Linked DNA regions of Arabidopsis thaliana. The protein of the gene in region 1 purifies or fractionates together with the protein of each later gene. This does not show direct contact. Each region holds a gene or a part of one and is shown on either strand. Other genes may lie near its edges.

Region 1 (5,167 bases):
CCAAGTCTATCACTTCTTTTAGGAGTGTAAAATCAAGTCCCAAGTAATTATTTATGTTTCATTAGCAACTGAGTGAAAATTAGACTTCTTTGGTTGGCCAAATCAGGAGGAATATTAAAGGTATCATGGGTTTGTTCTCATCTAATTCAAAAATAACATTTTTGGGAAACAAATCTAGAAGCAAAAGGAAGCTATACATTTGGAAACAAATCACCAATTACTTCTTGATGTGGTGATATTCTTTTCTATCTATTACATGATTAGAAATGGTAATTGTTATGGAAAAAATACATGACATTGTTTTTGATTAAAAGGGAAAACAAAAACGTTGACTAACGCTTAAACAAGTGTTCCTCTCCAGATCGAGGATCTATGTGTTTAATCCAACGGCTAGGAATCTTCCTCAAACCATTACCACCACCACTGGCTCCCACGTGTACGATCTCTAATCCTCTCCCGACGGGTAAGAACACCGATCTCACGACACGTGTACCTCGTCTCAAAAGACCTTGCCATTTAAACCCAGGGATAGATTTCAGCGTGGCGTTTTTACACACCAAAACGGCGCCCATTTTGCTCGTTTTCGCTAATCCCAACGCGTTTACGAACTCGTGGCGTTTCGAATCAACCACCATGAAATCCACGCCGGAGATTCTCTCCACCACGTCCTCCGCCGAGTCTAAGACCATAACCTCCGTTGAGTCACTCGTAACGGCTCCTCTCATCACCGCCTCGTACTCCGACCTCGACTCTTCGTCAGGAACTATGCACACGTGTCTTCCACATGTGTGTATCGCTGCCACGGCGAGTCCGACGCTAGTTGCGATCGGATCTCCACGTGACCAAGTCTCAACGATCAGCCTCGTGTTCCATCCCGCCGCCGTAGCCGATAAAAACTCCGCCACGCTCGAGTCTCTGTAGCTTTTACACTTCAAAGACACACATATAGAAATAATTACATCAAGATTCTAAATTCATATATGTACATGATACATCAAGATCGACTAAATAAAAACCACATATACTTCACAGCGAAGAAAATATTAATTATAAGAACTATAAAAATTGTAATTCATATACATATTGAAGATTTCCTTGATCAAAATACAATTTAGGTCAACAAGTTGAATTGACGGTGAACAAACATGAACAAGAAAACAAAAGATGATGTACAAAATGCGCCATCTGAATTAGAGGAGGATTCTTACTGATCTAACGGTGTGGATGTAAGCGTTAGAGGCAGTTTCCGGCGACCAGACGAGCCTCATGATCGTATTCTTGTGTTAATATCTTGATAAAAATGTTTGGCTTTCGAGAGAAGAAAGGGTTTCTATATAAAGAGAAGTTGAGGAAAGGAAGGTGATGACAAGACGGTTAGGCAGTTAGGTTAATAAATGGGTGTGGTTTGGCTTTAAGGAATGGACTTAGCGTTGACATTTGTTTAACCCAATCATTTACGTGTCCTTCATTCCCTTCTATCTTCCCATTTATTTACTCACTTCGATTCTTAGATTTTGTTTTGAATAACATTTAATGTCGATAGCGAATTTATTTCTTTAGGTCTAGGGTTTAAATTCTACACCCTGTGCAACATATTAAATGACTTTTGATTATGATCATGTGTAATGTGTTAAGTATTCGTTTGGGACTGTGATATATATGTAGTGTAACGTGCTTGTTAGGTTAATGTGTATACAATGACGTTTATCCCTATTTTGTGTCTACATACATTGTGAATAGATCGGTATTGCATAAACCAATTTAGCTAGGTTCCGTTTTTGTTTAAAATGAGTTTTGCTATTAATGCGTCTTTGTTGTTCACTTATCCTTAGGTTGATGACTACTTGATTAGACTTCTAATCAGAACGATTGGATACTTTCTTATGCATCCTATTGTAATAATATAGTTTCAATTTAAAAGTTCATTACACAATAAACAACTAACAAAATTGTATACTTAAACCTGCTAATACTGATTATGAAAAAGAACTAAATGCTAACTAATTTAAAACTAACGAAAGTTTTTATCTATTTTCGAAACGGTAACGTTTACATATGTGTTGTTTTATACATGAGTTTCAAGGCCTCCTTTTGTAGACTTTTAATTTTAATTGGGCCTATGTATGAAAACTAAAGCCCATATAGATTAGGGAACAAAAAGACCTGTGGCACGACCATAAGATACGAGGTATATATAAAGAAGCAATTTAGGGTTTGTGGATTCTCTGAAGCGCAGCAGCAGCCGTAAGAAAGAAACCGAGGAAGAACGATCTCAGTGAGAGGACGATCACTTCGCCGTCGCAGTCATGGGTCGAATGCATAGTAGAGGGTTCGTTTCCTTCTCGTATCTGATTGAGTCTTGATTTGAAAACTTGTTCTCTTACATTTTGTTGTGTGTTCTGTAGTAAGGGTATCTCGGCATCTGCTTTGCCGTACAAGCGTTCATCTCCGAGCTGGCTCAAGACAACCCCTCAAGATGTAAGATTCGTAGACTTAATCTAGATTTCTGTTTGATTTCATTTTCAATTTGTGTTTCGAAAATGTTATCGCTACCTCTCGCATGGCTGAACATAGGATTTGATTCTAATTTTGGTTAGGAAATTTGGAATATGAGAATCTTCTGCATTTTAGTTTTGGTTTGTCATTGAATTTGATTTTATTGATGTGATTTGTTGTTTGTTAGTTTCAATCCTTTTGTGACATATTAAGAAATAGAGTTATGATCTTGATGTGATAGTTCGTTTTAGTGATTTAATCTGTTGATGAGTACTATCTGTGATGCAATCAATATTGATGTGTTTGCTTGCACTCTCCAAGTTAGCTTACTTGATACTTCTTTGAGAATAAAGTGTTTACTTTGATTGGTCCTGATGTTTGTTTTGATAATTGAATTAGGTTGATGAGTCCATCTGCAAATTTGCGAAGAAGGGTTTGACCCCATCGCAGATTGGTGTCATTCTTCGTGACTCTCACGGAATTCCACAGGTGAAAAGTGTTACTGGAAGCAAGATTCTCAGAATTTTGAAAGCTCATGGTACTATTCAATCTCTCTTGATTCTTTTGTAAGTGTTTGTTTTTTTTTTGCTTATTGAATAATCACTGAAACTAAGAGATCTTTTGTAATTCTCTCTAGGTCTTGCACCTGAGATCCCTGAGGATCTGTATCACTTGATCAAGAAAGCTGTTGCTATCCGCAAGCATCTTGAGAGGAACAGGAAAGATAAGGATTCCAAATTCAGGCTGATTCTTGTAGAGAGCAGAATCCATCGTCTTGCTCGTTACTACAAGAAGACCAAGAAGCTCCCACCCGTCTGGAAGTAGTAAGTACTTGAACATCTAAGAGTTCTTGATTATCATCTCTTGACTTTGAATTTTGATGCCAACTCTTGTTCTTGCTTTTGCAGCGAGTCTACAACTGCAAGCACTCTTGTGGCTTGAGAAGAATAGAGTTGATCATGTCCTTCAAGAAGGACCATTTCATTGTCTGCATTGCAACTCAAAGCTCTTCTTCTTTTGAACCTATGTATCTGTTTTCGCTAGTTTTGATGGGTTACAACTTGCTATGAGATTTTGATTTTAGGGAACGAATTTGTTTATGCGAATCTTTCCATTATCGTTACAGCTTATCTTTCAATTAACGTTAATTATCGTTCTCAGAGAATTTTTACAGATTATCTCCGCTAGTAGCGTCCAAGTTGAAGATAATTTAGTGTTGGGCTTAGATATTGTCTTAATACTTCTTTCAGTTGCATGTTTTTAATGTCTGTTCCTTTTAACTTATTGTTTAGCAAATTAGACAAAGACTCTAAAACTCCGACGATGATAAAACAAATTTCCGAGTCTACAAGCGCAGGCATTCTTGTGGTTTTTGTAATCATCAGATTGGCTAATACCTTGGAAATGAAGGAATCCTATAGAAGTATAGTTCTTGATGATCCTTCACCTAGATGGGATGGACATGTTAATGGAAGACATAAAAAAATTTGTAAGCTTGTAAGTGTTAGTTTGTAATAGAATTTCCGTTTTATGTTATACTCCTATAATTAAGTGTGTATGTAAAAGTCTAACGGTGTCATAACACAATCGTGTCGGTTGTGAATGGGTATCAGTGTCCGAGAAGTTACAAGTCGTTGCTTTCGTGTCTCAGTGAAATAAAAACAAGTTCCCACTTACTTTGTTCTCCTTCTCTCGACAGATAAAACAGAGCAGTTCTGGTTACATCATAAACCTAAATATGTTCTCTTTTCTTTTGCTCTTAAGTAACGAAAGAAGCAAAGTTCAACAGTAAGTTCAAATACAAACAGGAGAAAGATATAATTTGGAGGTTGCTCTGGTCATGCAAAGAATATGGTCATATGGATTGTCAATAGACTTTAGTGAAGGAAGGTGACTTGAGTCGAAATCAATGGATGATGAAATAGAAAGATGCTCAATCAATAGGAGTTTTTTAACATGACTTATAAGTTGTTGCAGAGAGTTCCTTCTTATCATGTGAAGTTTCTCACAGAGGCCAAACCATTTCAAAGTCTGCAGTTTATGATACAAGATCACATGTCTCAGTCCCAAGTGTCAACAACTTTTGGTGAATTTAGACAATGAAGAGAACGACCATAAAATCTAGGCAGGTAAGTACAGATACGTGTCACTATTGGTGGATTGGTTTGGTTCAGTGTAGCCATTGGTTACTTGGAGGAATCACAAGTACGTGCAACATAATCAACTTCTTGGAAAAACAATCAGCAAGTAGACATGTTTTTGGGATGGCTTTGATGAGAGAGTTTTTCACTGTGGCTTTTGCATACTCAGATCTAGTTGTAGGTCCAGGCCTAAGAACTTATGAGTAGACATGGCTTATAGTTAAAAGTGTTGAAATTGCAACTTGATGGAATGAGAGAGTTATGGCAGGAAAACGAAACAGAGAAAGATGAGAAGCATAAGCATAGTGGAAGGACAAATATGTAATGTGGTCTTCATATATTCATGGAACGAAAGTATCAAGTATTCATGTTGTTACTGCAGAATATTGGAATAGGAAGCACCACCTTGGGACTGCAAGATTCTAAGTTTGGCTTCTTTGGAGAAACAAGGAACTGCAGCACTTGGACTATTGTCATTTCAGTTGATGTTCGAAAACAGTTTCGTGGATGAACAGAACAGAGTTCCGAGA
Region 2 (5,438 bases), on another chromosome or scaffold:
TTACGTTTAAGTGTATTCACAGCGGGAAAATGGCTGCATTTATGAAATATAGTCTAAGGTTCACATATACATAGAGAAGGGTTTGTATTGTAAGGTGGACGAAAAAATCTTGTAACAAAACTCTATCACGATTAATACTAAACACTTTCAAGAAATTCTTAAGGGAGGATTCTGACATCCATAATTTGGCGCCAAAAGGAGGGGCCTCTAGAATAGGAATCGCTATGGCAAAAAACGGAGATCAAACCTCTACGCTCGACGAAATCAAGAAGATGATGAATGATCAACAACAATGCACCATCAGTGAACTGTTAAAGAAGTTCATTTCGTTTGAGGAGCGTTGCAACACTCAGCTTGCAGCCCTTACCGCAAGTTGCTCCAAAATCACGTCAACTCATAATACTTATGCCGACCGAGTTGACACTCTACTCCAGGGACTTTGCGAACCTCAAGATCAAGAGGGCGTTTAGAGTTTTACGACCCTATCCACCCGAACCCTCTGAGTTTCTCAAACTACTGCAAGGTCTCAGGTCCCAAAGTGTAACCGGAGGAAGTTATCAGCAGCCACCAACTGCTCAAATACTTCTGTAGGCCTCAACTACTTCTGGTTATAATACAAATGCATAAACGCTAGAAAAGAGGATTGCTTGCAGTGGGTTCGTTTGACCATCGATAGCATGATAAGTGAAGCTTTTATGCTACTGTTTTTCCCTTCTTTTTTTATAGATGAAAACATGGAAACATGTTTTATTAAGGTAATGCATCATGTAAAACCTTAACTTTTCACTGTTTTATTTGTTGCCTCAGTCAAAGACACACCATTCTCCTTTAGACACCTTTAACTGTGCTTTTATAAGCAGTGCGTTGTGTAAAAAACTGAAGTATGGGACAGAGAGCCAGGATTGAGAGGCTACAAAATACATTAGTTTCGCAGAAAACTAAAAAGCAAAGTGTAGTACGTTACGTGAAATCCCAAAAGATGGGTCAATTATTGAAGCGACAAGCAGAAATCCGAAACCAACCAACTTAAGCTGAAATAATTACTTGATGAGTTTTAGCACGTTGCTATAGCTTAACCGAGACTTTGAAGATGTTTTGAAGCAGCTAAAAGGATCCTTCTTCGTTTCAAGGTGCGATGACAAAAAGAGGCTGCATAATTTGTTGTATAAGTAACCATAAGTCAAAGATCTGAAAGAACTGTGAAAAAAATAAAAAACGAAGAGAGAGATCGGTACCGTGTCAACGCTGACTGGTTTTCCATCTTCAGCCAGTAGTTCCATGATGGTTCCTGACTTCTCAGCCTGTTTTCAAGACACGATTTCACAAGTTAAAGACTCTGAAACCTCAAATTCGCAAATTTCCAAGTGTAAGTTATCACAATGTTATAAAGAAGAATATCAGACCTCAATCTCGTTCATCAGTTTCATAGCTTCGATAATACAAACAATTTGACCCTTCTGTACCTTATCTCCAACCTGCAAATTGCAAACAGAAAACAAACCCACATCCATTTCAAATGTAATAACTGTTCATATCTCGATAGAGAGAATTTTCAAGACTTTGATTCAACTTCAACCAATAACAAATATTTTGCAGGTTTTTGTTTCCTTTCTTTCGTACCTTTACAAAAGGGGGTTCACCGGGTCCAGGAGATCTATAGAAAGTACCAGCCATGGGACTCTTGAGTGGAGGATGAGACGAGGATGGGGCGGATGTTGGTTTTGCTGTTGCAGGCGTTGAGGTAGGAGTAGGAGAAGGAGGAAGAGCCACTGGTTGAGCTGGAGGCATTGAAAAGTCTGCCATTACAGGAGGCATTGAGTGATAAACTGGAGCTGGTGGTACAGCTTGCTGTAAAGCTTCCTTCTTTCGAATAACGATCTCACAGTCGAGCTGCTTTAGTTCAAGTTCCACTATGTCTTTTGAATCCACAAGCCTTAATAAGATCAAAATGTTTAGTGCTTGACTAGTTCATCGAAAGAAAGCAAACTAAAGGATAGTAAGGGATTCATTGGATTGTGGACTTACTTAAGAAGACCAGAGACTTTAGCCATAAATTCAGAGAGCTCGGCGGGTTCAGGAACATTGGTTTTCGCTTTTCCGTTCATATACCCACCATTAGTCATTGGAGTGGAGTTAGAAACAACCTTGGTAAAGTCGAAATGATTAAGAAGGTTACACAGTCGTACAATTAACGTTTAATTGAATGGACCATTGTTGGTAAAAAAAACATGCAATCTCTACCTCATTAGTTGTTGCACGCAACCTCCAGAATGCAGAATGATTCTGCAGGAGAAGAACAGAACAGAGAATTATGAATCAATGCATACTAACTTTAAACAGTCACCAACTCGAGCACCATTGCAGTGGAAAACACACACAGAAAAAAGGCAAATCTTTTCGTAAAGGCTCACACCTTTTTTATAGAATCATCATATGCAAGAGAGGCAGAGAGAGAAAGAAGAGGAGCAGAAGAAACCTGAGAAACATCGGAGGGAAAGGAGATCCCATTGGGTTGCGGCTGCCATCTTTGAGTAGAGATTCCAGGGAGAGATCCGACCCGCCTGTTCAGAGCACAGATCTTGACGCAAGGTACCGACAATGACGCCATTGTTGAGACAGTGGACGATGAAACCGAGGAAGTAGGAAGGAGAGATATGAGAGTGTTGAAATGCAGTGTACTTGCTATATTTTTCTTTTCTTTATTTTTTCTTTGGTAAAGAAATCTGATTTCGATGCTTACGAAGAAACCCAACTCTTTTAACTAACTTCACCAAACCGCTCCTTTTGTCTTCTATCAGTTCAATCGTGCCATGTCATAACATAGTGCCTCGGTGTTTCTCTGTCTTATTTTTTAGTATATACACAAAATACACCAATATAGATAGATATAGATATGTATAGATATGTGTGTTCAGCTATACATGTGTTACTGGTCTAATCACCGGAACAGTCTTTCAGAGATTGCCTCCATGTAATCTGCATTTGTTTCACAAATCCAACAGTCTTTTTGATCCAATCTTTGGTCATAATGTCTGCAAGATTTAAAACTCAACAATATCCAGTGACACTTAACATATTTTATAGTTGGTCACTTCAGTAAATGCAGATAGGTGGGGTTTTATTGAAGACAAGACCATGCGTTTTTTACTCAGCTAAACTTGTCTGTGGCTTCTGGTCAAAAACATATCTTATCTTTATAACTTTCAGTAGCTAAAATAATAATTAAGACTGAACTACACTTTTAACTGAAACGGAGCGTATAAGCCGCTTAAATAGATTTAATGGCCCATAATGGGTTAGGCGGGTCGATTCGGGTTCAGTGTGTCCGAAAAAAACCCTAATTGAAAATTGATTGCTCAGATATATATAGACTTTGTGACTGAAAATTGAAAGCTCTTGGCTTAACTTAACGGAGTGATTCGTGAAATGGCGACTGGTAAAACCGTGAAAGATGTTTCTCCTCACGATTTCGTGAAGGCTTACGCTTCTCACCTCAAGCGATCTGGAAAGGTTAGTGTTTTGATGCTTCTCTCTCAAGTTTGATTGATTCAGCTGAGAATCGAAAGACGTCACAAAAGGATCTGATAATGAGTTTTAGAGGAAACAATTGAGAGTTTGAGGGAGCTTCTGATATTGTAGTTCAATGTGTTGGTGTGATTTTGAGGCATTGAATACTATAAAACGACTGAGGAAGAGAGAAATAGAGATAGAAATGATAGATTCTTGATGTTAGTGATCATAGGCAGCTAATTGGAAATTCACTGTAATAATAGTTGTCTCTTTTGTCTGATTTAGATTGAGCTTCCTCTATGGACAGACATTGTGAAGACTGGTCGTTTGAAGGAGCTTGCTCCATATGACCCTGATTGGTACTACATTAGAGCTGGTAAAAAAAAGCTTAGCTTTCTCTTCGCTTGTTTTTGTTTTTATAGAGTCGTTATGAACGTTGTTGATATCTTGTATGGTGCAGCTTCTATGGCCAGAAAGATTTACTTGAGAGGAGGTCTTGGTGTTGGTGCTTTCAGAAGAATTTATGGAGGTAGCAAAAGAAATGGAAGTCGACCACCACATTTCTGTAAGAGCAGTGGTGGTATTGCTCGCCATATTCTCCAACAGTTGGAGACAATGAGCATTGTCGAGCTTGACACTAAAGGGTAATTCTTATTTCTTTCTAAAGGCACTTTTCGTAGGAAGACCTTGTTAGTGACTTACTTTCATCTCTCCTCCTTTGTTCATTCTTTGTCTCAGAGGGAGAAGAATCACTTCGAGCGGTCAACGGGATTTGGATCAGGTTGCTGGGCGTATTGCAGCTGAATCATGAAGAGCTGTTGTTCTCCTTATGCTTGCTTTGGAGGAGCCTCAAGAATGTTATAGATCTTTTTAGCTTTTGTGATTTTAGATCTCTACTCTCTTCTGCTCTGTTCATTTTGACGAACTAATTTGATATTTGATGAAGCTATTAAAGTTTTGTTCTTTACAGTGATTTTGTATCCCAAGTTTACTCTTCTTCATAGAAATCTCAAGAAACAATTTACTCTTCTCTATGAAAACTCTTCTGGTATGTCAGTCATATACAAATTTAAATTGGAAGATGATTTAAAACTCACATATGTTTCTTGACCAGAACTAAACCAATGTACACCGGATTCTGCAAACAAATGTATGAGAGGTGGAACACGGATTGAATCATAAGATAAGTCAGTTAAATCCAAATTCAAACTGGAGGATAAGTATTATATCTTTCTGAACCAGATCAAACCAGATTTTGCAAACAATATGGAATCTTTCTCATTTTCTTGGGTGAAGACCAGATTATTATTACAAAGGTGAAACAAGAATGATTGTCAAATCTATGAAACTGCAACTAATTGGTTACAGAAAGGTAATGTAGTTTTGAAAATGAGAATATGAACAAGGATGATATAGTAGTAAATCCAAAAGAAGCTTTCTAGAGAAACTGATATTGGAAATCGCTCATGCAGGAGCCAGTTTCACTCCAAGAAGATGAACTGCAGCATCTGATCTTCTTGTGTTGCGGTATGTGAAACTTGGGATCTCGTGGTGCAGTTGGATGTTTGCTCGACCTTTTAATGGTAAAAGAAAACAACAAGAAGCAACTGTGTCAGCTTTTGCAATGACGTTCATTGTTATAAGAAAGTTTACTCTATTAGTTGGTCTGTGAAAACTATATTGAAAACATATTTCTCACTTGAAAACAATATCTATATTACCTATCATGCTCTCATAATAAGAAAGATTCAAGAGGATAGTATTTATGTACCAGTCTTTTACCTTCTTGGAATGAATGGTCGATCAAAGTATGGCATTGGTTGTGCTTTTGGGACCAATTCTTTCCTCAGCCTTCTTATCTCTTCTTCCTCTGCCAACTAAAAACAATATTGGATTTATCAAAATCAGTTAAAGCAAAACTCTATTAT

Evidence for each region. The genes of interacting proteins can lie anywhere in the genome.
Region 2: the proteins of AT3G60770 (region 1) and AT5G15520 fractionate together in Arabidopsis thaliana (co-fractionation; one large-scale study listed by BioGRID). This does not show direct contact.

What each region holds. Positions count from the first base shown.
Region 1 is NC_003074.8:22,458,796-22,463,962, reverse strand, and holds AT3G60770 (Ribosomal protein S13/S15), read left to right. Parts: upstream 1-2,183; 5' UTR 2,184-2,306; coding exon 2,307-2,329; intron 2,330-2,405; coding exon 2,406-2,478; intron 2,479-2,895; coding exon 2,896-3,034; intron 3,035-3,133; coding exon 3,134-3,320; intron 3,321-3,404; coding exon 3,405-3,438; 3' UTR 3,439-3,774; downstream 3,775-5,167. Other genes in the region: AT3G60780 (hypothetical protein (DUF1442)), read right to left, coding at 333-929, 1,209-1,268; AT3G60760 (uncharacterized protein), read left to right, coding at 4,761-4,814, 5,033-5,167.
Region 2 is NC_003076.8:5,036,125-5,041,562, reverse strand, and holds AT5G15520 (Ribosomal protein S19e family protein), read left to right. Parts: upstream 1-2,808; 5' UTR 2,809-3,426; coding exon 3,427-3,510; intron 3,511-3,795; coding exon 3,796-3,886; intron 3,887-3,970; coding exon 3,971-4,154; intron 4,155-4,248; coding exon 4,249-4,321; 3' UTR 4,322-4,542; downstream 4,543-5,438. Other genes in the region: AT5G15533 (uncharacterized protein), read left to right, coding at 727-744, 808-906; BCCP2 (biotin carboxyl carrier protein 2), read right to left, coding at 1,126-1,149, 1,236-1,301, 1,404-1,475, 1,621-1,933, 2,026-2,144, 2,242-2,283, 2,477-2,608; AT5G15510 (TPX2 (targeting protein for Xklp2) protein family), read right to left, coding at 4,975-5,176, 5,293-5,387.